3 linked regions of the Danio rerio genome follow. Each later gene encodes a partner of the first gene's protein in a complex. Links are inferred from orthologs where the notes say so. Each region holds a gene or a part of one and is shown in the gene's direction. Other genes may lie near its edges. The genes, in order: kcnip2, kcnd2 and kcnd3.

What was found.
Region 2: the proteins of kcnip2 (region 1) and kcnd2 are in contact, whole or in part, in a cryo-EM structure (PDB 7UKH), measured with the Homo sapiens proteins. The link is inferred for Danio rerio from reciprocal best matches to the Homo sapiens genes KCNIP2 and KCND2. Residues at the interface, in NP_775283.1 of Homo sapiens: Arg112, Gly113, Phe114, Asn116, Glu117, Cys118, Val123, Phe128, Ile131, Tyr132, Gln134, Phe135, Phe136, Tyr144, Leu148, Phe152, Phe165, Leu169, Ile172, Leu173, Arg180, Trp183, Ala184, Leu187, Tyr188, Met201, Met205, Ile208, Met211, His228; in NP_036413.1 of Homo sapiens: Val5, Ala7, Trp8, Leu9, Pro10, Phe11, Ala12, Arg13, Ala14, Ala15, Ile17, Gly18, Trp19, Met20, Pro21, Val22, Ala23, Ser24, Gly25, Pro26, Met27, Pro28, Ala29, Pro30, Trp55, Asp57, Arg61, Arg100.
Region 3: the proteins of kcnip2 (region 1) and kcnd3 are in contact, whole or in part, in a cryo-EM structure (PDB 7W6S), measured with the Homo sapiens proteins. The link is inferred for Danio rerio from reciprocal best matches to the Homo sapiens genes KCNIP2 and KCND3. Residues at the interface, in NP_775283.1 of Homo sapiens: Arg112, Gly113, Phe114, Asn116, Glu117, Cys118, Val123, Phe128, Ile131, Tyr132, Gln134, Phe135, Phe136, Tyr144, Leu148, Phe152, Phe165, Leu169, Ile172, Leu173, Arg180, Trp183, Ala184, Leu187, Tyr188, Met201, Met205, Ile208, Met211, His228; in NP_001365898.1 of Homo sapiens: Val5, Ala7, Trp8, Leu9, Phe11, Ala12, Arg13, Ala14, Ala15, Ala16, Ile17, Gly18, Trp19, Met20, Pro21, Val22, Ala23, Asn24, Cys25, Pro26, Met27, Pro28, Leu29, Ala30, Pro31, Asp33, Trp54, Arg60.

What each region holds. Positions count from the first base shown.
Region 1 is NC_133197.1:36,996,524-37,006,001, reverse strand, and holds part of kcnip2 (A-type potassium channel modulatory protein KCNIP2), read left to right. Parts: intron 1-1,648; coding exon 1,649-1,773; intron 1,774-3,547; coding exon 3,548-3,617; intron 3,618-3,726; coding exon 3,727-3,797; intron 3,798-6,776; coding exon 6,777-6,884; intron 6,885-9,478. UniProt on the Homo sapiens protein: Regulatory subunit of Kv4/D (Shal)-type voltage-gated rapidly inactivating A-type potassium channels. Modulates channel density, inactivation kinetics and rate of recovery from inactivation in a calcium-dependent and isoform-specific manner.
Region 2 is NC_133179.1:10,929,961-10,940,113, forward strand, and holds the start of kcnd2 (A-type voltage-gated potassium channel KCND2), read left to right. Parts: upstream 1-3,513; coding exon 3,514-4,625; intron 4,626-10,153. UniProt on the Homo sapiens protein: Voltage-gated potassium channel that mediates transmembrane potassium transport in excitable membranes, primarily in the brain. Mediates the major part of the dendritic A-type current I(SA) in brain neurons.
Region 3 is NC_133183.1:29,999,476-30,009,564, forward strand, and holds the start of kcnd3 (A-type voltage-gated potassium channel KCND3), read left to right. Parts: upstream 1-4,933; 5' UTR 4,934-5,218; intron 5,219-6,090; 5' UTR 6,091-6,164; coding exon 6,165-7,267; intron 7,268-10,089. UniProt on the Homo sapiens protein: Pore-forming (alpha) subunit of voltage-gated A-type potassium channels that mediates transmembrane potassium transport in excitable membranes, in brain and heart. In cardiomyocytes, may generate the transient outward potassium current I(To).

The sequences.
Region 1 (9,478 bases):
CAGTATTGGGAAACATCCAAACACTCATTCACACAAATACACTACGGGCATTTTAGTTTATTCAATTCCCCTATAGTGCATGCGTTTGGACCATAGACTGTAAAATATATGGACGTAGTGTCCGTGACGTCACCCATAGGTTTCTAAAGAGCGCAAAAGAAGCCACAAGTAGGCGCGGCCAACCGTCGCCATTTTGTTACTGCGTCATCACACCCACAGCGGGATACCAAACAAGGGCATAACAAGGGAGAGTGAGCGGAGCTACAGACACCTGCTGGCATTTAGCTTGGACCTGGTTCAGACACACTTAACTTTGGGAGAACGCTTAATACTTTATCACCTGCGACTCGTTTGTATTCTGACCACTTTTTCTTGGTTGTACACTATATCAATAAAGTGTTTAGTCTTTTAAAAATACTGTAGTACTACATTGAGCCACTAAACATTGTTCTTATGACGTTTTTCTACAGGGGGAAAACGCGAATTACTACCAAACACTTCAGATATAGTCTGTGTTAGTTAATGTAAGACTATTGATGAAATCCAGCATAACACTGAATGACAACGCTTCAGATGACTGTTCTAGAGCCTACAGCTAATCAATCTGACAGATTCTGCAGTGCATTACAGCTCTAAATATAAATATAAACGATAAATGATCTTAAATAAAATAAATACATGTATAGAGATGGTATATAAGTATATAACTTTACTCACATGGGGAACGGAGGCCACGTGAATGGTTTGTGAGCACAATTAAGTGCACTCAGCATGCCATGACATCTAATAATTGTAGGAAACAAGTTCAAAAGGCAATTGACTGTGTAAAGCCACATAAAACATCACAGAAATACGATAAATATGCCGAGTTCAGTGGCTAATCTGCAGGATTCAGCTGGGGTGACGTGACGGCGACCAACGAGACCTAGCTGTCACTCAAGTGGCCACGCCCTTAATTAGGCAAACTTAATATAACTCAATATAAAGGAAACGGATGAGTTATAAAATAATTCACCCCCCTCACAGTTGTCATGAAGGGTAATATTAGCTGTTTTAACCAAAATCTTTTTTTGTACCAGGCTGTAAACACCTTTTTCTGCTGTAAAGTTGGCCATTCTAACAGTGGGCTCAATTGAAATTTGCTCTGTTTTGGAGCCAGGAGCGGCCAGGACTAGCGGAATTTCGGATGAATTGCAGTTTTAGTTACTTCCGTATTGGCTTCCTGAGGGAGAGCGGGAGGTTGCCGCTTGGTTTGGACTGTGAAACCGGAGCACCCGGAGGAATCCCACACCAACACAGGGAGAACGTGCCAACACAGAAACACAAACTGACCCAGCCTGGACTCGAACCAGCGACCTTGTTGCTGTGAGGCAACAGTGCTAACCACTGAGCCACCGTGTCACCAGTCTAAACACACTTCAAGTTAATTTTTTATTTAGTTTCAGCCAAACTAAAGAAAGTGAGACTTAAAAAAAACATACTCCTTTGTTGAACATGACTTTGGGAAATATTTGAAAGACTTAAAATTTCGCTGGAGAGTGAATCATTTTACTTTCAACCGTATATGGGGTGGTTCTTGTGTTAAATGAATTCACTGCTGTTTTTAAAGGTCTGTATGATTACTTGTATCTTTTCATCTCTCTTATAGACAGTATAGAGGAGGATTTTGAGCTTGCTACTGTGTGCTACAGGCCGGACAGTCTGGATAAACTGATGGAGCTGACCAAGTTCACCAAAACCGAGCTACAAATCCTGTACAGAAGTTTCAAAAATGTAAGAAGCTAATTAAGCCAGATTGGGCTAAAAAGATTCAACAATGTGTAGAATCACGTTTACAATGTTTTGTTGATGAACAATGAAAACATTGACAGCCGATAAGAATCTACAAATTTTAGGGAACTTCAACAGTCGACAAAAATACAATTAAAAATGTCATTAGTGATGCTGTGGACGCTAATGTAGTTATTGTGTGTTGGTGTTGATGCTAATATAGTTATCGTTATAGTTATCATTTGTTGTTGTGAGTGCTAATATAGTTATTGCTATATTTATTGTCTGTTGGTGTGGATGATAATATAGTTATCATTATAGTTATCATCTGTTGTTGTAGATGCTAATTTAGTTATCGTTATAGTTATCATTTGTTGTTGTAGATGCTAGTATAGTTATCGTTATAGTTATCGTCTGTTGGTGTGAATGCTAATATTGTCATCGTTATAGTTATCATCTGTTGTTGTAGATGCTAATTTAGTTATTGTTATAGTTATCATCTATAGTTGTAGATGCTAATATAGTTATAGTTATCGTCTGTTGGTGTGAATGCTAATATTGTTATCGTTATAGTTATCATTTGTTGTTGTAGATGCTAATATAGTTATTGTTATAGTTATCATCTGTTGTTGTAGATGCTAATTTAGTTATCGTTATAGTTATCATCTGTTGTTGTAGATGCTAATATAGTTATAGTTATCGTCTCTTGGTGTGGATGCTAATGTAGTTATCGCTACAGTTATCGTCTGTTGTTGTGTATGCTAATTTAGTTATTGTTATAGTTAGCATCTGTTGTTGTAGATACTACTATAGTTATAGTTATCTTCTGTTGGTGTGGATGCTAATATAGTTATTGTTATAGTTATCGTCTGTTGGTGTGGATGCTAATATAGTTATCGCTACAGTTATCGTCTGTTGTTGTAGATGCTAATATAGTTATCGTTGTAGTTATCATCTGTTGTTGTGGATGCTAATATTGTAATAGCTGTAGTTATCATCTGTTGGTTTGGACGCTAATATAGTTATCATTACAGTAATCGTCTGTTGGTGTGGATGCTAATATTGTTACAGTCATAGTTATCATCTGTTGTTGTAAATGCTAATATAGTTATCGTTACAGTTATCTTCTGTTGGCATAGATGCTAATATAGTTATTGTTATAATCATTGTTTTTTGTTGTAGATGCTAATTTAGTTATCATTATAATTATCGTCTGTTGTTGTAGATGCTAATACAGTTATTATTGTAGTAATCGTCTGTTGTTGTGGATACTACTATAGTTTTCATTATAGTTATCGTCTGTCGGTGTGGATGCTAAAATAGTTATTGTCATAGTAATCGTCTGTTTTCGTGGATACTAATATAGGTATCATTATAGTTATCGTCTGTTGTTGTGGATGCTAATATAGTTATCGCTATTGCCAGTTGCTGTGGATGTTAACATGGTTCTTTTCGACAATGATTTGGTTATTTTGTTGCAACGTTTTGATAAATTCACGTTAATTTATTTGTATGTTTTTGTATGAACAGTTCATGTCCCATTGGTGAGGTTTATGGGGTCTTGTCAATGCTTTTTATTGTTCAGGTCATGCGTTTTCCATCATACTGTATGTACAAATTAGTTAAATTGTTTGCAAACATTTTCTTCTTCATGTGTACAAAAAAAAGGGCTCTGTCCCGTTAAATACTTCTCTTAAATCAGGTTATTGTTACTAAACACATTGTAAATATGTTTTCAGTGCATCTTTTAACAGTGTTTTGTTTTGTTGTGCTCTAGGATTGTCCCACTGGAGTAGTCAATGAAGAAACCTTTCAACTAATCTACTCTCACTTTTTCCCTCATGGAGGTGAGTGCACAGAGCTTGAAGATAATCAGATTTGTTATTTAGTTCCCTTTAAATGATGATTTCAAATGATTTCTTAGTCTAAGTTTCATGCTGTTTTCTTCTTTTGAAGATTCTAGTGCATATGCACATTTCCTGTTCGAGGCTTTCGACAGACGCAAAAATGGAGCAGTGAATTTTGAGGTCAGTTTGATTTTTATTCACTAGCTGTGTTTCTATCCAAGGGTGCGAATTAAATTTATGCTCAAAACTGAAACATCGCAAACAAATTTGCCAATAAAGCACTGTTTCCATCCAAAGAGAACAGAATTGTCACTGATTAACTGGAGCCAAATATCAACAAAAAAGGGGAATTTGCTGCGGTAGGAGAAGCTGCGTGAATCTTTTCCTCATTTAATAAATACTTGAACCTCAAAAGGCAATGCTGACATGCAGAGCCTTACATTAACACCCATTAACCCGCCAAATGCAAGTAGATTTGAGCTGTGGCGGGTTAAACAGAGACCTCCGCTCGCCACTTTGGCTGGTTGGAAATAGTTTTTAAATTGTAGTTTTGTTAAAAGCAGGGTTCGACAATAACAACCCAGGCTTATTCTGGAAACGTAGCCCCATGAACGTTTCTGGAGATCGCGAAATACATCTCGGGAGGTATGGTATGGTACAAATGGTATTTTTGCAGTTTTTGTTTTCAGGAAGCCGTGAGAGGCCGATGTGCGCGCTTTTTCGCATCTCGAACGCCTCTCGCGAACGCGCTGTTTGCGCCCGCTCTGTTCTCACGTAAAAAGTTGCTAGAGGCCGCTGTCGAGCGACCGTCTGTCCGATTGACCGACTAACTGAATGATTGACTGGGCGGCCGGCCCATTGGCCGACCCAGCCACCCTCCTCCTTCTCTTTCCTTAAACCCAAGGGACGATTTACAAAAGCCATCCAGAAAAAGAAAAGCCCTTGTCCGATTTTGACCACGTTTTCGGAATTCACCACATTCTCACCCTGTTACAAACTCGTTTGCTTTTATTTTTTAAATTCTGTTTTTTGTCTTACCTGATTTCTGGAACCGCTCTTCCCTGGACTCGAACCCGGTCATCTCTGCGGCCGGCTCCTCCTCCGGACAATTAACACGACGAGCTAACCGGACAAACTGGTTGCAGCGGGAAAGCCCTCCAAATGGTGGAGGTGAGCCGTCAGCAGGCGAGCGCGAAGAGGAGCGGCGTCACACCGCCCCGTAGCGTTCGCTTGAAAAAACAATATGCAGCCATACGTCTCCAGAAATGTCCGCGGTGCTACGTTTTCAGAATGAGCTTGAGTTGGACAATAAGCATGGCCCAATATTCTTGCAAATGTGATCTTAGAATCGAGAAGCAGCAGGACTGACAAAAATAACTGTTCGCCGAGAAAAACAGCAAAAAAGTAGGTAAATACTGGACAAAGAGCGATGATCATGCACCCACAATCCTGCTGCTTTCAAGAGCTCAAAATGTAAAAAATAAAACACATATTCTTTTGTAAGCAGCAGCGGTCACTGCTTTCATTTGAATTATTCTTTGAACAGATAAACAGGCCTATATAAACCTATAGGCCTATATTAAAATAATAATATATTATTATATTTGTTAATATGGTTTAATCATATTTTTACAATTACATTGCTTTAAAGGGAGATTACTCTCCGTTTATGTGTAGGTAACCGCTGATCCGGGACTTTTAGCTAGGACAGATTACTGTGCATATTTTAGATACATGACAATAATTCTTTTTTTAAAGGAAAGTTTTGTTGAATTAAAAAGTGCACCTATACAGCTGTATTTCCCTGTTTGACACTTTTGTCAAAATTGTGGCTAAGAAATTCTTATTTTGTGTGCTAAAAGATAAATTTGGGTTTATATTGGTACCTAAAATGTTTAAGAGGAACACTTTTGTACTTTTGAGGTACTAATATGTACCCTTGAGGTATTAGAAAGGACGCCTACCTTTTTTTTTCTGAGAGTGTATAAACATATGCTTCATAGGTTCAATTTCACTCTACTAAAGTGTATGTGACAAATAAAGGCCTGATTTGGTTTGGTTTGATTACTATAAAGCGTTTTTCGGGCAGCCGTTGCAATCGGATCCTATACCAAAGTTGGTTTTCAAGGGGTTTCACAGAACACACCAAAATGCTGAGGACCCGATAAATAACAAAATGGGAGGGTGGCGGGAGATGGGTCTGAAATACGGGAGATTAGCTTTGCGCTAAGGAGGGGTTTGGGAACAAATGAAGCACTTAACAAATCATATGGGAGTCGCTGGGATAATTAGGTAAAAATAAATGCAGATTATAAGACAATGAAAGTGTTTTTTGACCTTGCAAGCATATAGGCTTGTACACACTGGGACGACTTTCCTTTGCGTTTATCGTTAGTGTTTTATGAGACGTTTTTCTGGATTCAAACCCAATCAATTTTTAACTGGCGTCGAGCAAAAGAGTATGCAAAAATCACTCCTTGATGTTAAATGGCGCTAAACAACTTTAAGCTTCTGACAGCCCGCTTATAACACAGAAGAAGAGGATGAAGGGAAGTTCACACGCTTGTTGTTAAAGTTACTGGTGACTCGAACACGCATGGATGGTTCAAGCACCAGCTCCAGCTGTATCGATGAAGAATTGATTATTGTTCACAAGAGCAATAAGCAGCTTCACGTTCATATCACCTCTGGGCATCCTCTTCAATGTGCGCTCACATTGACAGTTTTGTGCTTGAGCGCCTCCTAGTGCTGTTTACTTTAGCAGCTCCGTGCACGTGAACAAAAGTGCCAATCTTATTGGCGGAGAAGGTTTTGACGTGGCGCATCAAAACAAAAAAAAGAGCATGAGGCGTTTCTTTAAAAATGACGTTTCTACACCTGCTGTTTTGCGCATTGTTGTGCATGATCACATTGGCGCCCTTTATTTAGTCACAAGGCGTTAGGCGGTCTTTGGAAAACACGAGCAAAAAGCTTCTCTGTGTGCACGGGCCTTTTCAGCCGGTTGTTGGAGACCCTTAAAACCAAAATAGGACCCTTTTGCATGTATAATGAAGGCTCTTTAATGTAGTTTCCTATATTTGAATTCAAAATCATAAGCGTCATTTAATGAATATGTTTACATCACAGACTCACCAGTCTCTCATTTCTGTTTGGCCTTAGGACTTTGTGGTGGGCCTGTCGATCATTTTGCGCGGCACAGTCACCGACAGACTATCCTGGGCCTTCAGTTTGTACGATCTCAATAAAGACGGCTGCATCACTAAAGAGGTAAAGGTGTTTACGCCAACACTAATGCTATTAGCTGCAGTGTAATGCCAATGCACCGAATGCGGTGAAAGTGTCCAAGGTCGCTCTGGCCGCCCTGGTGACAACGCTGTCTGCCTTCAGCTCCGGCAGCGAGAGCGTCAAAATTCGCTACATTGATCTCGTATTTAAAGGGGCCGTTGCAGCAAATCAGATCAGCTACATTCCTGCATAAAACATGCTGGCTAGCGTGAAAATGTTGCGCATTTAACAATGGAAGATTGAGCTGCATGTGGTGTGGCTTTGCTCCACTTAATTATCCACTGTGTCCATATGGCTGAAATATCCTGAAGCAGAAATACTGTTTTGTACTGTCGCGTGAGATTCCTTTTTTAAGATCTTAAAAAAGGAATCTCACGCGAATTTCTGCACATTCCTGTAAGAAAACATTGTAATTACTTGAAAATCTGGCGACCCCAATAATCAAGCCCTTGGGAAAAACTGTGGTCGGAACCAAAATTCACAGGTCTGTGTTCTCTGAACTGCTCTCAAGCGGTGGACTTCAGCTGCCTCCGAAACCGCCTACTACTTAGTAGGTACTGCATTTGAATTTAAACGTACTACTTGGCCGTTAGAAAAGTACGTTCTATACAGTGGCTGTTTCTCACTTCCAAGAACGTAGACAACGGACTTGCATTCTTGTGGAGACCGGTATTGCCAGGTGTCCATGGAACGAACTCAGGAGACCGCGAGGGCAGAGAACGTGTCCTTTGAGAAATGGGATGCTGTGTTCTTCCTGATGGTCACATGACCTTCACGTGTTTTAAATGGAAATTATTTAAATATTACAGCATTCATACAACGATTTGTTGTTTTCCCCCCTCTTCAAAATATATACTTTGCATAAAAACATTAGAAATAACGTATACTCTGCACAATATAAATAAACAAATTTTAATACGAATTTCAGCAAACAAACACCCTTAATGTGTTTATTCCTTTATTAAGATATTCATGTTAATGTTTACTTTCACCTTTTCATTTAGGGAAACTCCTGAGATAAATAAGTGATATCTCTGAACTTTAATAATAAATCTAAATAAAATGCTGCGCTTCCCACTTCCAGTCGCAATGACTTCTGGGACTTCCAGAGCGAGTTCGGTGCCTGTCGGAAGTCTGCATTGTGGCATCCTCGATATCAAGATCACATCCGGGAAGTTTCACGTGTCCTCCGTACTTGCGGTCTTGAGTATTGGAACTGAACTTAAGGCTGATTTATACTTCTGCGTCAAACGCCGGCGTATGCTACGGCGCTGACGCATAGCCCTTCGCTGTGGCCGTCGCAGTCACTGACGTGCACCTCTCAAAAAATGTAACTACGCATCGCAACAACGTGTATTGTAAGCTCTGTGATTGGTCGGCTTGGTAGCGCTGACGAGTCTGGGCGGGACCGAGAGCCGCGCGAATGATTGTTTACAAGTGTGGAGTCCCGTGAAGGAGCTCCGGATGGAAAGTTTTGTTTTGTGTTTACCTCATAGTTAAAGTTGTTGCACGTCCGCCGGTTCCTGCCTCAAAATGAGCAAGTTTGAGCCACTTGTACAACCAGGAAGTGTTCATGTAAAGCAAAAAAGCAGCGAAGAAACTCGACACAGAGGAACATTTACACCTCACTGTCAACTAGCGTTTCACAAGTGTTAATGCAGACCAACAGAGACAGCGCGCAGAAGTATAAATGCACAGCTACGCGCGTTGCATGCGCCGTGAGTTACGCCGGTCACCTGACGCAGAAGTATAAACCAGGCTTTAGGCAGCTGATGATGACGTTGCACGAAAACACGAGGACGGAAGACCGCTGAAGAACGCATATTGAGAAACAGCCAGTATGAATGTGAAAAGCATGAATGGAATTCGCACGTACTACATCCGCCATTTTGTCATGGTCATGTTACCTACTTGTGTCAGTTGCGTCGCATTCATGAATTTGCTCGCGGGGCATCAAGGGATAGCGCAGCATGCATGGGATGCGCACTCCAGAATCTCGCCGGAAGTAGTAAGTCATGCGGGTACTTCTCGCATACTGATTTTCGAATTCTATGAATTCGGACATACTACTTGTCTCGCATACTGATTTTAGTGTACTATATAGTATGGAAGTATGCAGTTTAGGACGCAGCCTCCTTTCTGACTGCATTGAAAATGCATGACTTTCGGCTACTTTGACGCTCTCGCCGCTTTCGGTGTTAACATACGGTAAGAAATATTTGTAAAGTAGCCGTTTTCCACATTTTGTAATTCATATTTTTTTAATTTCCTTGTTTATTTCTGCTTTTAAATTGCATCATGGGAGCATGATCTTTCCTCCAGCTACTTTTAAGCTTGAAAAGTTCAAAATAGTGACCTTTATAAACATTGGTAATAGTGTGCTGTGCTATATTGTCTGGGTTGGTGTTGTATATTACACTACAATAAACTGCAGCACCTTATTCTGCAGACTTATGTCTCTACATATTATTTATTATATATTATATTACTTATAAAACATCAAAAATAGTCACTTTAAATGATAGAGTTGAATTTTCAACTTAAAAAGTGGACAGAGCAGAGATCAACATCTCATA
Region 2 (10,153 bases), on another chromosome or scaffold:
TTGTATATTTATATTTTACACCAAGGATTTTGGTGATCACAAGTCACTGGCATTGTTATTTTGGGGGTCACGGGCTGAAAAGTTTTGAAACCCCTTGCTTAAGGCAACATGCTTTCACATAAGTAAAGTCAACTATTTGTGTTGAAAGTGCAGAAAAAGCTGATTTTCATAATTTGTTCTCTTTAAATTCGGCTGAGGTGTGAGTTTTATCACGCTTAGGCAATGAGCTGTCAGGATGCACATTCTTCATGCATCAACACTGTCAGGTTTAGCTCACGGGACTGAAATAGATGTGACTGGTAACCATGGTGACATCGGCGCCTGTCATATTTTGGCGCCATTTCTCTAACAACCCGAGGCAGGGAAACGCACTGAACAAAAGTCAGAAAATTGACTGTGATGGTGCTGAACACTACTATTCTGGTTCATTCTGTGTAAAACATAGTGCGTGGCCACGGTACAGAATGCTCAAATGAGGCAATCCTGTTAGCTTTGAAAATGAATGGAGTTTAGCGCGGTGTGGTTTTGTGTGAGTGTGGGTTGCCCGTGACATTGCTAAAGCAGATTTGCTTTTCTTGAAGGAAATGGTAGTGCTTTAGAGGCAGCGAAAGAAAAGTTAGTGTTTTTTGAAATGCTGGCTTACAGCCGATATGATGGTCAGTGAAAAGGTCAGTTGTCAACCTCAGAAGGTCATAGTGATTTTTTTAAAGACGTATTTTATTTGTATATTGATTTTCTGTCGTATTTACATGGTATTTGTGTTTGTTAGTGAAAACTATAATGTACTATAAAATATTTAAAATAATACCATATTTTTGTTGTAGTACATAAATAGACAAGCACAACAAACGCGTTCTATGCTACAATTTGTGTAAAAACGGATCAAATGTTTTAGAAAAAAGGCAAACAATGCCTGAAATTACAGTGAAATAAAGGATAGTGAAATTACAAGATTAATATCCTTTTGTTTAGTATTTTGTTTCTTTTTTCTCTCAAAATGCAATAAAATGTTAAAAGAGTGTAGGACAACTTTATATATGTATATTTAAATTATTTAAATTGAAGATTCATAAAATTAAATAATACAGTGGTGTTATATACAATAAAATGATAAACTAATATACATATATAAATATATATACAAAACAACATCCGATTTTGGCCTCTTTTTCTTTATTACTTATTTTCAGCATCAAAGTTCACAATTTGAGAAGTATGAAACAGAAGATTAAGTTAAAAATATACAGGGTTCAAATACACACACATGTTTTGGATGGCGGGATTTACAAACAAATTATAAACCGTGTGAAAAGAACACGTTGTAAACAGTGTGAACAAAATGCATCTAGTAGATTGAGGTTAACTGCAGTAAGGTGAGTGGAAGGACATTTGATGATAATCAGTACAATTCTGCATTTCAAGGACTGTAATGCCATCAAAAGACAGAAAATATATCCTAAAGATATTAGAAAGTGCATGTAAACATTAGAAGCTCGTTGCCAATATTCAATAGAGCGACAGTCGCTGTCCGCAGTGCTAACAAGCAGCACGCCTGTATTTGCGGCTGGTCGCTGTCCATGGTGCTGAAAAGAAAACCCCTGCAAGCCATGGAGATCAAAGACTCTCTCTTTTTCCTCTCGCAACATTTAATCTGCGATACGTCTATGTGACTAATTTGGAAGGCAGTTGAGAATATGGAGGCCCCGCGCCAGGAAATTCATCACGGGGGCGCGCGCGCACAAACACGCACGGCGCTCTGAGCTGCCGCAGCTGTTTTGGTTCACTCGCTCAAATCAGTTTTTGGCGAAGTCGATTTTTTCAGAAGCTGGGGCATTATCTTAGAAGCCACAGTTCTGACGTAAAAACAAGTTTATCTCAGCAAAGAATTAAAATTTTAATATATGATAATTTCTGACTGATTATATTCCATTTTTAATTCTTATTTAAGTGAAGCGATTTTGTTTTACAGATTATGTTATTTCTCTCTCTAATCTCTCTCTCCCTCGTTAAAAAGTGGTTGTACTGTAGGTGTCAATTTTAATATGGATGATTTATTGCACTGACAGATCTATCTATCTATCTATCTATCTATCTATCTATCTATCTATCTATCTATCTATCTATCTATCTATCTATCTATCTATCTATCTATCTATCTATAATAACGGATAATTACAGTCAGATTAGATTTGCAACGTGTGCAGCATTTCTCCTCTTATCATCTCAAACATCCTTATTTGTCATTGACCCATGTATGGAGAGTTGCAACACAGATAATCGCATTTTCGAGCTTGCTGATTGTGTTTGTCACAGCAAAAGACCTTCACATGACTCGAATCTATTGCTCTTACAGGTCTGATCTTCATTCACCTCTGAAAACTGTCTCCATCTAGCGGCTTCCCCCATTTTATATCTGTCAGTGCTGAATGTGTGAATCAATAACCTGAGACGTAAAAACATCCGCAATGCTTTCACTCCCAGTCTCTCAGCTCGCAATTCAGCGCTTCACTGAATTCCTGTTAAACTCTGCTTAAACATAAATCTGTTTAATGATGTCTTTACACAATGCGTTATACGGGGGTGTTTGTTTTTCTATTCATGACAGAAATAAATGCTTCAAATAAACATTGAAACGTAACACTTCTCATGGTACATTATACACCATTCACACAGACCGTGTTACATTCATATGTGTTAACCGATGCCCGTAGCACGTGACACGCCTCCAATGCGCCGTGAGCAGAAGCAACTTGGGCTCCACCGCAGACTCACAGATCTCCGTCGGTAGCGGATGAAGCAACTTCCAGCAAATCATTTGTTGCAGGTTCAGTTTTTGTTCTGGTTACAGACAGACCCTGCCAAATTGTTCACGGGACGCTGGATTACATTTCAAGGAAGCGGATAGGAAAGTGGCATTTGCTTTTTTTGAAACACCGAACGCGCACTCGCCAGGGTGGTCTTCTCTCCCTATGAAAGGACCACTGTGGCAGGTTTTCTCTATAAGCGGTAGTGTGAAGCACATATCAGCTGTGACTGGCTAAAAGGATGTCCTTGGACAACGCGAATCCTCTACCTGACTTGTAAACTTGTTGCATTTGCTCCAGAACACCTCCGAGAGCGCATTTTGGATACTTATTTGCGCGTAACGACGGAACAGCGATACAAAGTGGACTATAACTGATGAACTGTGTGTAAAAAGCTGCACTTTTGCATCAAAATCCATTTATGAGGAGGTAAGCTTTCTCTTTCGCTCTCGAGCAATAGGTCAGCACGTGCAGTTTGTACGCGTATAGACATTTTTACGTTCTCTCTCATTATATTCTCTCATTTTGTTGTTAGAATGCTTTAATCTGGATGTGTAACGCGGCTCGTTGTTCACGTGAGTGATAGTATTGCTTAAGTTTACGCCAACTGATTGCGCATTGTGTCCCTCCAGATGTCCTTTCTGCGCGTGGCGGATCAGTGAGCGCAAAATCTGCTTCAGTCGCACCGGTTCGCGCACATTGGGTCAGGATGGCAGCCGGAGTCGCCGCGTGGCTACCGTTCGCGCGCGCCGCAGCTATAGGATGGATGCCCGTGGCGAGCGCCCCGATGCCGCCGCCTCCGCGGGACAAGAAGCGTGGTCAGGACGGGTTGATCATCTTGAACGTCAGCGGCACTAGGTTTCAAACTTGGCGGAATACTTTGGAGAGGTACCCTGACACCTTACTGGGGAGCACAGAGCGCGACTTTTTCTTCCACGAGGAGACCAACGAGTACTTTTTCGACCGCGACCCGGACATCTTCAGGCACATTCTCAACTTCTACCGCACCGGGAAGCTGCACTACCCTCGCCACGAGTGCATCTCCGCCTATGACGAGGAGCTGGCCTTCTTCGGCATCATTCCAGAGATAATAGGTGACTGCTGTTATGAGGAATACAAAGATCGCAGAAGGGAGAACGCGGAGAGAATTCAAGACGATGAGGAGAACGACAACAACAACGACTTGGTCATGCCGGATTTGTCGTTCCGCGAGTCCATGTGGCGCGCGTTCGAGAACCCGCACACCAGCACCATGGCGCTGGTCTTCTATTACGTCACGGGCTTTTTCATCGCCGTCTCCGTTATGGCCAACGTGGTGGAGACGGTCCCGTGCGGCATCTCGCTAAACCGCGCGAAGGAGCTCTCGTGCGGGGAGCGCTACGCCCTCGCGTTCTTCTGTTTGGATACGGCCTGCGTCATGATCTTTACCGTCGAGTACCTGCTGCGTCTGATCGCCGCACCCAGCAGGTACAAGTTCGTCAAAAGCGTCATGAGCATCATCGACGTGGTGGCAATCATGCCTTACTACATCGGCCTGGTCATGACGGACAACGAGGACGTGAGCGGGGCCTTCGTCACCCTCAGGGTCTTCAGGGTCTTTCGGATTTTCAAATTTTCGCGGCACTCCGCGGGGCTGCGCATCCTGGGCTACACGCTGAAGAGCTGCGCGTCCGAGCTGGGCTTCCTGCTCTTCTCGCTCACCATGGCCATCATCATCTTCGCCACCGTCATGTTCTACGCAGAGAAAGGCTCCTCTGCCAGCAAGTTCACCAGCATCCCGGCGGCTTTCTGGTACACCATCGTCACCATGACAACGCTGGGGTGAGTCCATGTTGTTCTGCGCAAACTTACTGAACGAGCTTGTGCGCATGATCTGCTGCTGTCATGCCTGCTTCAAAGCAGCCCTTTTACACCAACGTGTCCTGAAAAGTTGAGAGCTGCAGGTAAAATACATCAAGGGCAGAGGGAGATCAATACAAGTGAGATAAATCAAAGAAATAGACTCCCTCTATCTCTCTCCTCTCTATATATCTGACCAATCATTCTATCTGTGACTGCCTCATTGGGTTTACTTTTAATTTATTTTTTTTCTTTAAAGCATACTATTCTAAATTATGTTTTATTCTTGACTTATTTTGTAAATTATGTTAGTTTTGACTACATATATACAGTTAAAGTGAGAATTATTAGCCCCCCTGAATTATTAGCTCCCCTGTTTATTTTTTTCCTCATTTTTTGCTTAACGGAGAGCAGATTTCTTCAACACATTTCTAAACATAATAGTTCTGTAAACAGTCAAACAAATGAGCTTAAAGGGGCTAATAATTTTGACCCTAAAAGGGTTTATTCTTTTATGCTTTTATTCTTGCTGAAATAAAACAAAGAAGACTTTCCCCAAAAGAAAAAATATTATCAGACATACTGTGAAAATTTCCTTGCTCTGTTAAACATTATTTGAGAAATATTTTAAAAAGAAGAAAAAAATTCTATTATTAGGGGGCTAATAATTCTGACTTCAACGAAGAAAACCTTCAGTTAGATGTTAATGAACGTTAAGACTTAAGTGCTATACAGACATGTGTACCGTGATTAAAGAAGTGGATGTGTAGCTTATATGTAGTGTAGTTTTGTACTCCCTCTGACATTCCATTGTATCTGTTCCTAGCAACTTGCTTTTTTGAGTTTTAAATAGTACTTCTAATATTCATACACACTCATGGTAAACGAGACTCCCCTAGTGTCAAAGTTAGTACAGATTCTTCCTTTTTTTTTTTTTGGAAGACTTGCTTTTTTTTATATAGCAAACCGTCTTGAAGAACCTTTGGCACAATGTTGTAATTACCAAAAAGTCAATGAACACACAGAGAGACATGGCTGATTTATGTGACGTTAAGCACTGAAGGCGATTACAATAATGCATTTGCTATTGATGTGTTATTCATTCATTAATCCCATCACTAGACGCCTCAGCATGACTTCTCCAAGCCTCCATCCTGTGCTAAGCGGGTGCTCTCCATGGTGCTGAATCTGTCCACCGCATGTTGTGGTTGCCCCATGGCTGCTTGGGAGACAACCGATTCCTTGCTGGTGAGCCGACACGGTCCTGAGTCACTCGAGGGGATTAATCAAGCTGCATGCTCCAATACGCATCCCGTGCTTTGATCGGCACGCCTTTGAAGTGCATTACTGTGCATTGTGAGTGTCAATCTGATGCCTGGGACAGGCTGATATGATGCATGTTTCCCTTTAGAGTCAATGGTAGACTTTCTTTAGTTTTAAAGGAGATTTTTAGGACTCATTTTGTACTTCAGGGTAACCTGTCTGCTTTTCATCTGTAACTTTATGTCTGAAGATGGTCTACTGAATGTGACTAATGTTGTGTTTGACATGAGAAATGTTAGAAGTTCCTCTCTTAGACACCGCGAACCTTTAATAATAAGAAAATGAGTCTGTCAGATCTGCGGCACAATGGGTAGTGCGTGTCCTTGTGATATCTGAAGAGTTATGGCTCACAGAGTTCAAATCATTCCCATTCCCTTCTACTTTCCTGTCAGCCCTACATTGTTCTGTAAAGAAAATGTGAGGTTTAGAGTGAAAGGGGCGAGAAAAAGATCCAGTAGGAGCGAGAGAAAACGAGAGAGGGAGTGTATTGGCACATCTTATTGTGTGCAATTTGTGTCCTGCCGTTTCTTGCCTGTCAAATCGGATGACATCAATGAGAAAATGAAATTATGGTGCACCGCTCGGCATCGTCTTAATGTTGGGTGCGCTCTGCATGTGCTCGTGTATGCTAGGGAGAGATGATGACTTGTCGGAGCCAGCTGGTTATGAACTATGTCTTCCAAACAGACCCACAGCTGCAGGGCTTCAGTGATGCGGCCCATATACTCATCTCCTCTCTCTGCAGGCAGGCATGCTGTTCCTCATTTCAGATTTTATTGCATTGCCTCAGTGAGCCCATCAAGAGGAGCACGCAGGGGGGCAGTCGCTACAGCAGAGATCTGACCTGGTAAAGTCAAGTTCATCCTGCGACGAGCAATTGCCAAAGCTTGGGATGTGAAATCGGCCTGTGTCTTGAGACTATTTCATGTTTGAGTGGCTACATTTCTTTTTTTTTTTTTTTTTGTCGTCTTAGAGAGAAGTTTCAAATTGTCACACAGTTTAAGTTTAAGAGACAGTGGGGTGAGGAGGAACCTCTCCTTTTAGATTTGAGATCTCATCCTTCCGTTGTCTTTGCTTGTCGAGTTCTACCATCACTCCTTTGTCAGGTCTGAAATCTCATTCCCTTTCCATTTCTGCTTAAACACACACTTGTGAGAGTGGTCAGTCCGGGAATCTCTAAACGACTTTACCTGCTCTGATTGAACAAGGGCCAGGCTCTCTAAATGTATGCATCACTTTTTAATGCCTCGTTTCCTAGACTGAATGACAGGGATGGATCTGTGGCTCAGAGAGCTAGGGGTGAGATTTACAGGTATATTTTTGGGCGGTATAGATTACCATTAACGAAACACTGTGACATCCCTTTCCCTATGCGCAATTGAAGAACATTTTGACTATCAGCACAGTTTTACTGAGATAAAAGCCAGCATTAAAGCAGGAGGAAAGCCACGCTTGCCAGATTATACGCAACCCCTCAGGCGTCTTCAATCTGCCTGTGTGAGAATGATTGAGAATTTTTAATTATCCGTAAAGATAGCCTCTATCGTGTATAACTCTGTGTTAGATACCTGAATGCCTCAACCAGCTTTAGACCCCAAATTTATGCATACACGCACCAAGGACCGCTGCTCATCTCGGTCTCATTTTGATTGAAATGAAGTGGCTTTTTTATCTCTTACTCTGCTTAAAGAATGAGTAGAGCTTTGCTGTCTGGTAGTGTAAGATATGCCGGTTATCTCCCAATTGACGCAATATCATGATGGTGAGAACAGGCCACGTGGATTTTCTCTCAAACCTGGCTCAGAAGTTCCAGAGATATATATTTCACAGTGTTTCACAAGAGTACCCGAGCACTTTGCTAACTATTGTAAGTAAGCTTTAGTACCTAAGTTCACCTTTAGACTAATATGGCCACTTTTCTGCAGAGTTTAGTTCCAGTAAACCTGTCTGAAAGTGATCCTAAATACCCTGATTATCCAGTTTATGTGTGTATAATTGAGGCTTAAGCCAAACCATTACTGGATTGTGGCCTTCTAGCAACAGGAGCGGACACCTGAAGTGGCTGAACGAATCAATTTAATAGCTATTTTCCAAAGATGCGAATTAAACTTTTGTGCAAAACTGGAACATCGCATAAAACACTATTTCCTTCTAATGCCTCAAAGAGAACTAAATTGTCACTTCCTAATTAACCACTTTGTGCCTTTTTAATGTAATAAATTACTTTTGGTTACTATGAAATAGCTCATATGTTATAATTGAAAATATTCCGATGTCTTTGTCCGTCCAAATATATCTTGTCACTTTCTGCAATTTTTGGCATCCCATGATCTGATAAAACAGCATCACATGACTTTTTTGATGCGCATGTTTGAATTTATTCAGTAAATTTAATTTCATGGGGTGGAGGGGGGTCATTGGGGGAGGTCACTTCATCCACCACCAGTATCCAACATCTACTTGGATGATGTGTCAGCAGTCATATTGCACCATACTGCACACCACTCATCAGCTGGTTGGTGGCGAAGAGACAAAGTATAGATAGCTAGGAGGCCAGTGGGCAAATTTGGCCTAGATGGCAGGGTTAAACCTCTACTCTTTTTCAAAGGACAACCTGGGATTTTAACAACCACAGGGACACAGAACGACCACATCTTGTCCAGAACTGAGGAGTATAAATTCTCTGTCAATATACTGGGGCATTAAGACCCATATGAAGTGCATGTTGAGTGCTGGTCTTACTAACGCCACTACGGGCAGCAACCGAGTACTTACCGAGCACCGCTCTGCTTAGCTTCAGTGGGCCGAGCTAGCATGAATTGTGATCTAAAGTGTTACCAAGGTTTATCCTAGTCATCTGTGCGAATACATTTTTATGTTGGCATTTTCATTAAGCATTTTTTATGCAATAGTTCAAAATGGGCATAAAAATCGTAAGTAATGTCCATTTATACAGCTCATTTCTTAAGTATTTCCATACACCAACGTGCTATACAACTGCATGAGGGGGTCTCTCCTCACCATCACCACTACAAATAGGTGCACAGAAACATAGCTATTGATCCGTTTGGCTGGATTACAGCATCAGCATTCAACCCTCAAAGAGTCCCCAAATGGCAATGGGCTGAGTGGGAATGGTGGAGGCAGTGGGACGGGATGCGACTTTGGTTCACAGCACGAATGGCCTCCGCTTCACTGGCCCCTATCGCCTCTTTAATGGACTCGTTTTCTGGCATAGGCTGATTTTGCCCAGCTCAATTAAATCAGCAGCGTTTTAATTGGCTTATGCACTGTCAAACGGGATCTATTAAGTGAGCAGCTGTCAGAGCTGAAGACATGCAGATATAAGTGTGAGGAAGAGAGGGAGAAAGGTGAAGAGAGGTAAATACATCAGATGAAGCACTCGGGTACAATGAGAATGTCTTGTAAATGAAATGCCCCCATGATCCGCTACAATACCCATAATTCTTTTTTCGCTGAAATGTGGTTCTTTTTTTCCCATCCTCCAATCTTTTTTCTATCTTTTCATCCCCCCCGCCCCTCCTGCAGGGTTATGAAGCCACATAAAGAATCCTACCAAGAGGTTGTAAAGAGATTGATGGAGTAGCATAGAGAGTCTATTAAACTCCTGAAAGTCACCTCATGTCAGGTCAGTTAAGGGCAGAGTCTTCAACGCCCGCTGGCTACATATCCCCTCCCCCGGAGATGCCACACACAATAGGGATTTGGTAGATTAATCTTTGATATTCATTGTGGCCACCTTGGGTTAAGCAATAGGCTTGATGTCTGGGAAAGGAAAGTTCACAGTGCACAACCGAAGAAGGCTTCAGTATGGTTTTTAACACTTTGAACAGAGCGAAAGGTTGATTCCTTGAGGTCATGCTAACAGCATTGTAGTAAGGTCAGGCCATGGTACAGCATGCGAAAGGCACTCATTATTGTGTCTGAAAGAGCATGCTGGTGTGGGGTTACCCTCATTAGTGCACCTTGATCAGGCATCACACAGCAAGAGCGCTGCCCCGGAGAAATGCAGCGATGCAGGTTTAATATTGATGATCCCAGACCACTCGTGTGCATCCATCTAAGGCACGACTGGATTCCTGTAAAGATTTAATGTCTCTGTGCTCGGCTGATTAAATGGACATACTCCTGAAATTATGTCATCATGTACACAAACCCCCATTGTT
Region 3 (10,089 bases), on another chromosome or scaffold:
AACAGGGGCTTAGAGGAGACACTAATTAGCTTACTTTCCCATTAAGTCATATTGCACAGTTGAATCACTTCATAAGGAAGCAAAAAAAGTGTGTAATACAAAGAAGTTTAGTGGAGCTCAGTTGTACATTTCTTCGCCTGTGTAAAAGGAAGGTAAATGCTTAGGAGAAAGCGCTGCTGTTCGCTCAACTGTGAAAGTATGCAGTTAGGGTGCGTTTTTACACTGTCGCCACTGATCTGAGTTTATTGGTATTCTTCAGAACCTTCAGGCCCACTTTGAGAGCTGAGAGTCCCAGCAGAGTTAATTAGGCTTTATATTGCTTACTGAAGCAGCGAATCTGTGGCTACACATATCAGAACCCGCTCCACACTCAACAACACGCTTCCATCACAAGGCACGCCAGCACACTAAATCCATCAAGGATTTCCAAAGCCGATAACTGCTGAGGATTCATCCACTGAGCCACGTTTGAAGGACGTTACAGGAGAAAAAAAGAAAGAGGGATATAAATAATTCACATTTACACAATATGAAAAGAACAGAAATGAAAGTCCAACGGCCCGAGTTTGGGCCTGTAGAACACCACTGCATATGGCTTTGTTTTTGCTCATTAATTTGCTGGACCGGTGCAGAGATTTTGGTCCAAAAGCAGAAATTAATTGCTATTAAATGACAGCAGAAGGATAATTACGAATGCATGAATGCACACAGCGTTGTTCTTTCAGGTTAAAAGTAATATAATCACAGGATTTGCAAAAGTTTGTCAAGTTATGATGTAAATTCTTTTGAAAGACATTCAAGAGTTTTTAGGCACTTAAAGGGACAGATTAACCCGAAATTAACACATGTATCATTTTGCATTAGGAATGTCATGCTCAGGGCTGAATTTACCAAAGGACATTTTTGGCACAGGTTCGAAGGTCGTGCGCACTTGGGGCCCCTGTTGGGGGGGATGCCGATTTAGAAGTGTTTATAGCACACCGTGTTGGAATAAACTATTTGAGCGATTTCTGTCCATCAGTGTTTGATTAACAGAGCACCACTTTTAACAGCTTGAGTGGTGTAGCTTGTTAAATGCACGGCAACATGTTTTGACCATAGAATGTAAAAAGATATGGACGTAGTACCGTGACGTCACCCATAGGTTTCTGAAGAACGTAAAAGAAGCTACACATAGACGTGGCCAATCATCGCCATTTTATTTGCGCGTCATCGCACCAACCGGGGAATACCAAACAAGGGCAAAGAGCCTGCTTGCATTTAGCTTAGACAGGTTTTTCTTTGGGAGAAATGCTTAATACTTCATTTTCTGTGACTCATTTGTGTTCTGACCACATGTACTTAGTTATATGCTATATCAATAAAGTGTTTCGTCTTTTAAAAACACTGTTGTAATACACTGAGCCACTAAGAATTGTTTAAGACATTTTTCAACAGAAGGAAAACGCAAATTACTTCCAAACACTTCAAATATAGTCTGTATTAGTAAATGTAAGACTATTTATAAAATCCAGGCATAACACTGTATGACAACAGTTCAGATGACTGTTCTATAGCATACAGTTAATTAATCTGTCAGATTCTGAAGTGCATTACGGGTCTAAAGAAAATTTTGAACGATAAACGATCTTAAATAAAACAAATACATTTATGGATATGGTATATAAGTATATTATTTCACTCACATGGGAAACAGGGGTAACTTGAATGGCTTGTGAGCACAATAAAGTGCACGCAGCATGCTGTAGTATCTGATAATTGTAGAAAATAATTTCAAAAAGCAACTGACTGTGTAACGCCACATAAAACAAAAGAAAAATATGATGTATATGCTGAGTTCAGCAGCTAATCAGCCGGAATCAGCTGAGGTGAAATGACCAGCGAGACCTAGCTGTCACTCAAGTGGCCACGCCCTTAATTATGCAGATTTAATATAACTTGTTATAAATTAAATGAATGAGTTATAAAAAAAATTCACCCCCTCACAGTTGTCTTAAAGTGTAATATTAGTAATATGAACCCAACTGTTCTTTGTACCAGGCTGCAAACACCTTTTTTTCTGCTGTAAAGTTAGTCATTTTAACAGTGGGGTCAATAGAAATTTGCTCTATATGGAGGCAGGTAAAGCGGAATTTCGATGAATTGCAGTTTCAGTTACTTCCGTATTTGCTTCACAAGAGAGAGCGGGAGGTTACGACTTGGTTTTAACGCAATCGATCATCAACCCAGTTCAAATCCAGCGTGTGATGAACTATTTTTTTTCTTTTTTCCCCATTACAAATTAGATCGAAAATACATTTATTTTATTAAAATTTTTTTTTTTTTTTTTAAATATGAAAATAATGAAAAAGTCACAAGTGGCTCAACAACCAGTTAAAGTCAGAATTATTAGCCCCCCTGAATTATTAGCTCCCCTGTTTATTTCCCCAATCTCTGTTTAATGGAGAGAAGTTTTTTTCAACACATCTCTACACATAATAGTTTTAATATCTCATTTCAAATAACTGTTTTTTTTGTTTTTGCCATGATGACAGTAAATAATATTTGACTAGATTTTTTGGAGGACACTTTTATACAGCTTAAAGAGACATTTAAAGGCTTAATTAGGTTAATTAGATTAACTAGTCAGGTTAGGGTAATTAAGTTATTGCATAACGATGGTTTGTTCTGCAGACTATCGAAAAAATATATATAGCTTAAAGGGGCTAATATTTTGACCTTAAATAGGTTTTTAAAAATTAAAAACTGCTTTTATTCTAGCCAAAATAAAACAAATAAGATATTCTCCAAAAGAAAAAATATTATCAGACATACTGTGAAAATTTCTTTGCTCTTTTAAACATCATTTGGAAAATATTAAAAATAGAAACCAATTCAAAGAGGAGCTAGTAATTCTGATTTTCCTCTTACCAAATAGTTGCCACTTATTATTACTATTATTATTATCTTTATTGTTAAATTGTCCGAAAATAACACCATCAATGAAAAGCACGTTTTCATTGCAGATTCATCAGCAGATTTTTTTCTCTTTCTTTCTTTCTTTCTTTCTTTCTTTCTTTCTTTCTCTTTCTTTCTCTCTTTTTTCAACTAAACAGAATGTTGTAGTTGTATTAATTTTTTTATCAGTGTGCTGTAAATGCTTTAAAAATAAGTTAAATCTTTGTAGACTAGAATTATATGTACTATATAATTTATTTTAAAATGCAGGCAATACAGATTTGTTTTATTTAAAAATCATTATATTATTCTTATTTTTTAATTCAACTATAGGGGTGCGGCCGGGTAAGGGGCCCTACAAGACAATGTGCCCAGAGGGCTCTAAATTCTTAATCCGGGCCTGGTCATGCTCTATTTGCAGTGGCTCTTGATTACAGGTAAATATGTTTAAAAATCTTACATCACAGATAATAACCGAGTTTGTTATCAGAAGCAATGGGGGTATCATTAGTTTTTTTACCAGTATATCAATGATCTCAAACTCGACTCCTGGAGGGCCAGCTCTGCACAGTTTCGCTCCAACCCAAATCAAACACAGATGATCCAACTAATCAAGGTGATTAGGACTACTATTGGCTATTAAGCAGGTGAGTTGAAGGTGGTTGAAGCTAAACTATGAAGAGCTGTAGCCCTCCTGGAACTGAGTTTCAGACTATTGCTGTATACGTTTTTTGACTCTCGAAGTGCAGGAGCCACTGGTTGATAATAAATAAATAAATAAATAAATAAATAAATAGATAAATAAATAAATACTTTGGTTCTTAATAAAAAAAATCCTAATTCACATGAGGCCTCTAAGTGTGCAAAAAAAAAAAAATTGCATACTACCTTTAATTGCAGTTAAATTATACAACTGCTCAATGAATTACACTTAGTTTTCATATTTTTATTTATTTTATGCCAAATTCTACAGATTTTCTGAAATGTCTCAGTATGTTTTCTGTTTGGTGAGTCAATCATGTCATTGTTAACATAATTTCTTGCATTTTTATTATTACTTACAATGTCACACAGCCTCTGGTTAAAGGTATAAACCAAGCAAACTGGGATTGATTGCTTCATATCATTCAAACGGCTCTTTCTGTCTAAGTGGGCGTTCTTGACTAAAATAAACTATCGACCCGACCTTTAGCAGTCTAGTCAAAGGTCTGGCTATATGCGAGACAACCATATATACCTTATAACACTCACATAAACAATAACATCGTTTAAATAAGTGTTTGCAAAATGATTGGCCAAATCACAAGCCTTTTAAATCCCAATGAGCCCTTCTTAAGTGTTTTTGTAATATTAGTTTTCATTATGTTTGTGAAAACCAAACCCACACACAGGCTGAAAGCATTTTAGGAATCCATTGCATCAGTGTCTTGCATCACACAAAAGATTAAAACAGATAAACATTACATGATCTATGAAAAAAAAATAATAATCTCTATGTGCGCCAGTTTAGCTTACTTCATATGCGTAAATACTTTCTGGTTTAAGCCTGACAATTTGCATTATGTATCAATGTGAGAGATGTCTTATACGACGTTTTAATGTCATGTTTAAATGAGGATGGCAACAGGGCTCGTGAATGACTTTGTAAATCAATTACCTTGTCCCCATTTCTATATTGGCTCAGGTAAGCTGCGGCACGCAGAGTGAGACCACTATAAACTAAAGGTGAAATCGGCGCGTTCTCGAACAGTGTGAGGGGCGCGAAAGCAAGCATATACTGCCTCTGTGCGTCTTGCGCTCTCTCTGCTCCACGAACACCGCTCGCTCGCGCACGCGGCACCAGAGAGCGCGAGACCTGGCAGCGGAGAGACCTCGGGGAGGGAGAAAAGGAGTGTGCTAGTGTATGGAGAGAGCGAGAGAGAGAGAGAGAGAGAGAGAGAGATTGGGAAAAGACTACACCACCTCTATCCATCAGCTGAGCATCCTGCGGGAAGTCACTTCGAGCGCGCGAGCGGTCGGTGCGGCATTTCACTCCGTCCGAGCAAAATGGATCATTAAACAGCGCAGGATGTGACTGAGGGACACATAAGCAACTAAACTCTTATTTTTTGCGCCTCCGGTCACCCTGGTTATACCACAAATATTGTATTCTTTCACGTGGGTTCTTGTTTGCCTTTCTTCATTAATGTGCGGATTTTTCGGCGAACACTTTCGAAGTGATGTCAGGAGGAAATGTGACAAATATAGCCGAATGAATGAAAAGTTAAAAGATTTTTCATGGGTAAGTAACAAAGAACACAACTGCTGAAACGAGTTTGCTGGATTTTATCTGAATGCGAATTTACCATTTTTGCAATAATAATGATTGATCGTGACTTGTTTATATTTTGCGATATGTCTTCATGCGCATCTGTGAATAAATGTGGTTAACACTTAAATACTTGGTTGTAGAAAAGAAAGAACTACAACATTGGCCGTGTGTAGTGACCAATGTTTTGTAGCGTTTTATAGCTTTGCATAAAAGCTCAACAGGTTCGCATCTGTTTCAAACTGCAGTTGCTCAAGGGCTCTTGTGTCGCGAGCACAATCGTGCCCTTTGGAGTCTCTTACTTGAACTAGGAAATCAGTTTTTTTTTTCTATCTCTCTGTTTTAAGAAAGGCATGATGTATGCTGTTTATGTTGAATGCTACACGTAAAACCAACTTAACAGTTTTGTGTTTTTTTTAACTATGCTGTTGATGCTTAGCATTTGTTTAAAACAGTACAGCTGTGCCAGAATACAGTACAATAGTGTTGGAATATACATGAATGCATAGTATGGACTGTAATTAATCTATAAGATATGGACAACGGTTTTGTTAATTTGCTTTTGCTTGTGTTTTTTTCCTTTCTTTTCCATTGCATCTGTACCCCCTACCTCTCTTTGTCTTTCATTTTTCATACTTCTTTCTACTGTACACTACGTGATTGCTTCCCTTTTACCTCTGCCTCTCTATTCTGCTGGCATCCTGTTCGCTCTTGCCGTCTTTTCACTCCCATTTCACATCTGTCTCACTCGCTCCCACTGGAACTCTCTCCTCTTCCTGTCCTCCCACATTTGCCAACCTCTCACTCTTGTCTGTGTTCCCATTTCCCTGTCTCTCTCTATGTAGATGGGGTCTAATCTAATGTCAAGCTGGTTGTGAAGGTGTTTGATCTGGTCCCCTCGACCCCATCCGGAGTCCCCATGGCTGCAGGAGTAGCAGCCTGGCTCCCCTTCGCTCGGGCGGCGGCCATAGGATGGATGCCCGTGGCCAACCTGCCTATGCCTGTTGCACCATCCAATAAGAACAAGCGACAGGATGAGCTTATTATCCTCAACGTCAGCGGGCGACGCTTCCAGACATGGCGGAACACGCTGGACCGATACCCCGATACACTCCTGGGGAGCTCAGAGAAAGAGTTTTTTTTCAACGAGGAGACAAGGGAGTATTTCTTTGACAGAGATCCAGATGTGTTCAGAAGTATTCTTAACTTCTACCGCACAGGGAAGCTGCACTACCCACGTTACGAGTGCATCTCTGCCTACGATGAGGAGCTGGCGTTTTTTGGAATCATTCCTGAGATCATCAGCGACTGCTGTTATGAAGAGTACAAGGACCGCAAGAGGGAGAACACTGAGCGTCTAATGGATGACCTTGAGGACAACAAAGACAGCAAACTCCCTAACATGACTTTCCGTGAGACCATGTGGAGGGCCTTTGAGAACCCGCACACTAGCACCATGGCACTAGTTTTCTACTACGTAACCGGATTCTTCATCGCCCTGTCCGTCATCACCAACGTGGTTGAGACGGTTCCTTGTGGTTATATGCCAAATCAGAGGGACGTCCCTTGCGGGGAACGCTACACTGAGGCGTTTTTCTGCATGGACACAGCTTGTGTTATGATCTTTACAGTGGAGTATCTGATGCGACTGTTTGCGGCGCCCAGCCGGTACCGCTTCATGAGAAGCGTGATGAGCATTATCGATGTGGTTGCCATTTTACCATATTACATCGGGCTCGTCATGACCAACAATGAGGATGTGAGCGGAGCCTTTGTCACACTACGGGTGTTCCGCGTCTTCCGGATCTTTAAATTCTCCCGCCACTCCCAGGGTCTCCGAATCCTTGGCTACACACTGAAGAGCTGCGCCTCAGAGCTTGGCTTCCTCCTCTTCTCCCTCACCATGGCCATCATTATCTTTGCCACAGTCATGTTCTATGCTGAGAAAGGCTCATCGTCCAGCAAGTTCACCAGCATCCCGGCCTCCTTCTGGTACACCATTGTAACCATGACAACACTGGGGTGAGTCATTTTGTCTTGGAATGACTTTCTCTCTGTATATTTTTACACTTTTTAACCCTGGGCGGACATCAAGCCACACCCCTGATGCATTTCAGTGGTTATGTCATGAAGGGATAGTTCACCAAACACACTCAGAAATGATGTGGAAAATGTGTACCTTTAGGGATACTCTCAGAAAAAAAAAGGAGCAAAAGCTGTCACTGCAAGCGGGGAAGTACCTTTTCAAAACAAAAAACACTAATATGTACAAATTGGGTAAAAATATCTGAAATTTTAGGGGTTAATTTGCAAAGGTCAAAACATTTGTACCTTATTTTAAGCATTTTATAGGAGTTTGTTACAGGTGCAGCACATTTGCAAGAGACATCCTTCTACCTGATTAACCCCTAAAATCTTCATAGTAGTACCTTAAGAGTATACAGTATATAACTATTTTAAGCTACTAATATGTACCTTTTATTAGTACACCCTTAGAAATAAAGGTACAAGAGTTGTCACTGTGGTACCTTTTCAAAAGGTACACATTTGTACTTGCAGGGTGCATATTGGTACCTCAGAAGTATATATTAGTACTTACAAATTTTAAGAGGAACACGCTTGTACTTTTTAGGTACCAATATTTATCTTTGAGGTATTAATATGGACCTCTTAGGTACACATTTGTACAGTTTGAAAAGGTACCACCCCAGTGACAACTCGCGTACCTTTATTTCTAAAAGTGTAGATGATGGAAAATTTGACCTTGCAATGGTATTGTCCTAGTGACAAGCTTAAGTATTCCTAAAGATACAGCTTTTCTCTCAGTTAAAATAAAACAAGTCTGTCATGACTTACCCTAATGTTTCAAAAGTGTATGATTTTGTAGCATGAAAGGTTTTTTTGAAGAATGTTTTTATTCATACAATTAACTAGTATTGAGTGGATTTGAGCTCCACTGGCTTCAAATGAATAAAAAAGCTCTTTAGAATATCTCCTGCTGTGTTACCCAGAGGAAAGTTAAGGCCCCGTCCTATTTCTGCCCATTCTCATAACCATTTGTAGGTAGATATCTAGATTCTCTTTTGGTGAGATTAGTATGGGGTAAAGGGAAGTGCCAGATAGCCCTTCAAAGATTCTTGGACCTAATATTAAAGGAAAGTGAATGGTAAATTCCCTGGAAATGTAAGTACACTTCTCGTCACTCTGTGAGAAGGAAGAGGTGTTGGAGTAGATGAAGGAGTATAACCTAGAATTCAGATTGGGCCTTAGTCAAGCAGGTTTGGAACAAAATCTTTGGGTGAACTATCCCTGTAAGTAGGCCCACTCTTAAAAATAAAGGTATAAAGACTGTACCCTACACTTTTTGCACATTTATGCACACTTTAGGTAATAAAACATCCCTTTAAGGCATGGATCTCAAACTCAATTTCTTCAGCTCTGCACAGTTTTGCTCCAACCCTAATCAAATACAGCTGATCCAAATAATCAAGGTGTTCGAGTAGTCTTGAACACCTTGATTAGTTGAATCAGCGTGTTTGATTAGGGTTGGAGCAAAACTGTGCAGAGCTGCGGTCTCCAGGAATCCAGTTTGAGACGTATGCTTTAAGGTACCAGTATTAACCGATTATGTACAAATGTGTACTTTCTAAAGGTACAAAGACAAAAACAGTTTTTTTACCTTTATTTTTGAGTGTATGTACAAGATTTAAAAAACACAAGAGCAACAGAAAAGAACACAACTGGTTACAATATTGCTTTACACTCCATCTGTGAAAGAGAGGCTGTTTCCCTGCAGCTTGTGGATTTTCCTTCTTTTCTGAGTTAACTGCTATTAGCATCTAACCCTAATGACCATGGTTGCTGACTGCACTCATGCCTGCCCGAAGCAGCGGTAGGTTTGAATTTAACTTCCTGCCCCAGGCTAGATTTTATTCATCCCTATTATGCACCAATTAATATTTAAGCATGTGTGAAGCAAACAGAGGAACATCCTTCAGCATTTTCCCCTCCACATTAACAACAGGCAAGCAGCTGCAGAGCTGTAGAGCCCCATTTAATACAACCCGCCCCTCATAAATCACAGGCCGTTTATTTGTGTGTTCATGACGGATATGTGTGGACGTTTGACACGATTGGTTTTAAGAGCAAGGGTAGAATTAATTCAAGCAATTAGTTTGAGTGATTACATGGCGGATGACTTGAGTAATCGACTTTATACTATCAGCAGCTAGGGTATATAGCTGCCGTGTCACTGTGGCTTTGAAACTGGAGCTGTAGTCAAAACAGGCTTTGGCTTGCTGGTTAGACGGTTGATGATTGGCGGAAGCACCTGACCGTGAGCCCAATGACCCCAAAACATCAAGATCAAGGACTTAAGTCAGTATCTCATGAATGTTACATTGGCAAATGCGTTGGTCCTTGGAGAATGCAGTTGTGTCAGGGGTCAAATGTAGAATTACAGTTACACATGTCTTACGTATTCATGCTTTCATTTTTTTGTGTAAACTACAGTTTGTGAATGGCTAAACCTCTTAAAGATCCTTGTGAGCACCATGTTGAACTATAAACCCTAGGTATCATGCTTGTTGTGATAATCTGCTGGCTAGTTTTACATGGATTTCAAAGTAGCCCATATCTCATTACTCATTACTACATTCACCCCAGAGATCCAGTCTCCACCCGCATCTGAGACTTGACCTGAGATCGAGGGCGAGAGAGACTCTTCTCATCAATAAAACACAGCTTAGAAGTGTGTGTCACTGTGACTAATGTTCTCAGGTACATGTGCTGAACAATGTAAACCACTATGACATTTCCAACCTCGCTGACGTCATGTAGTCTCA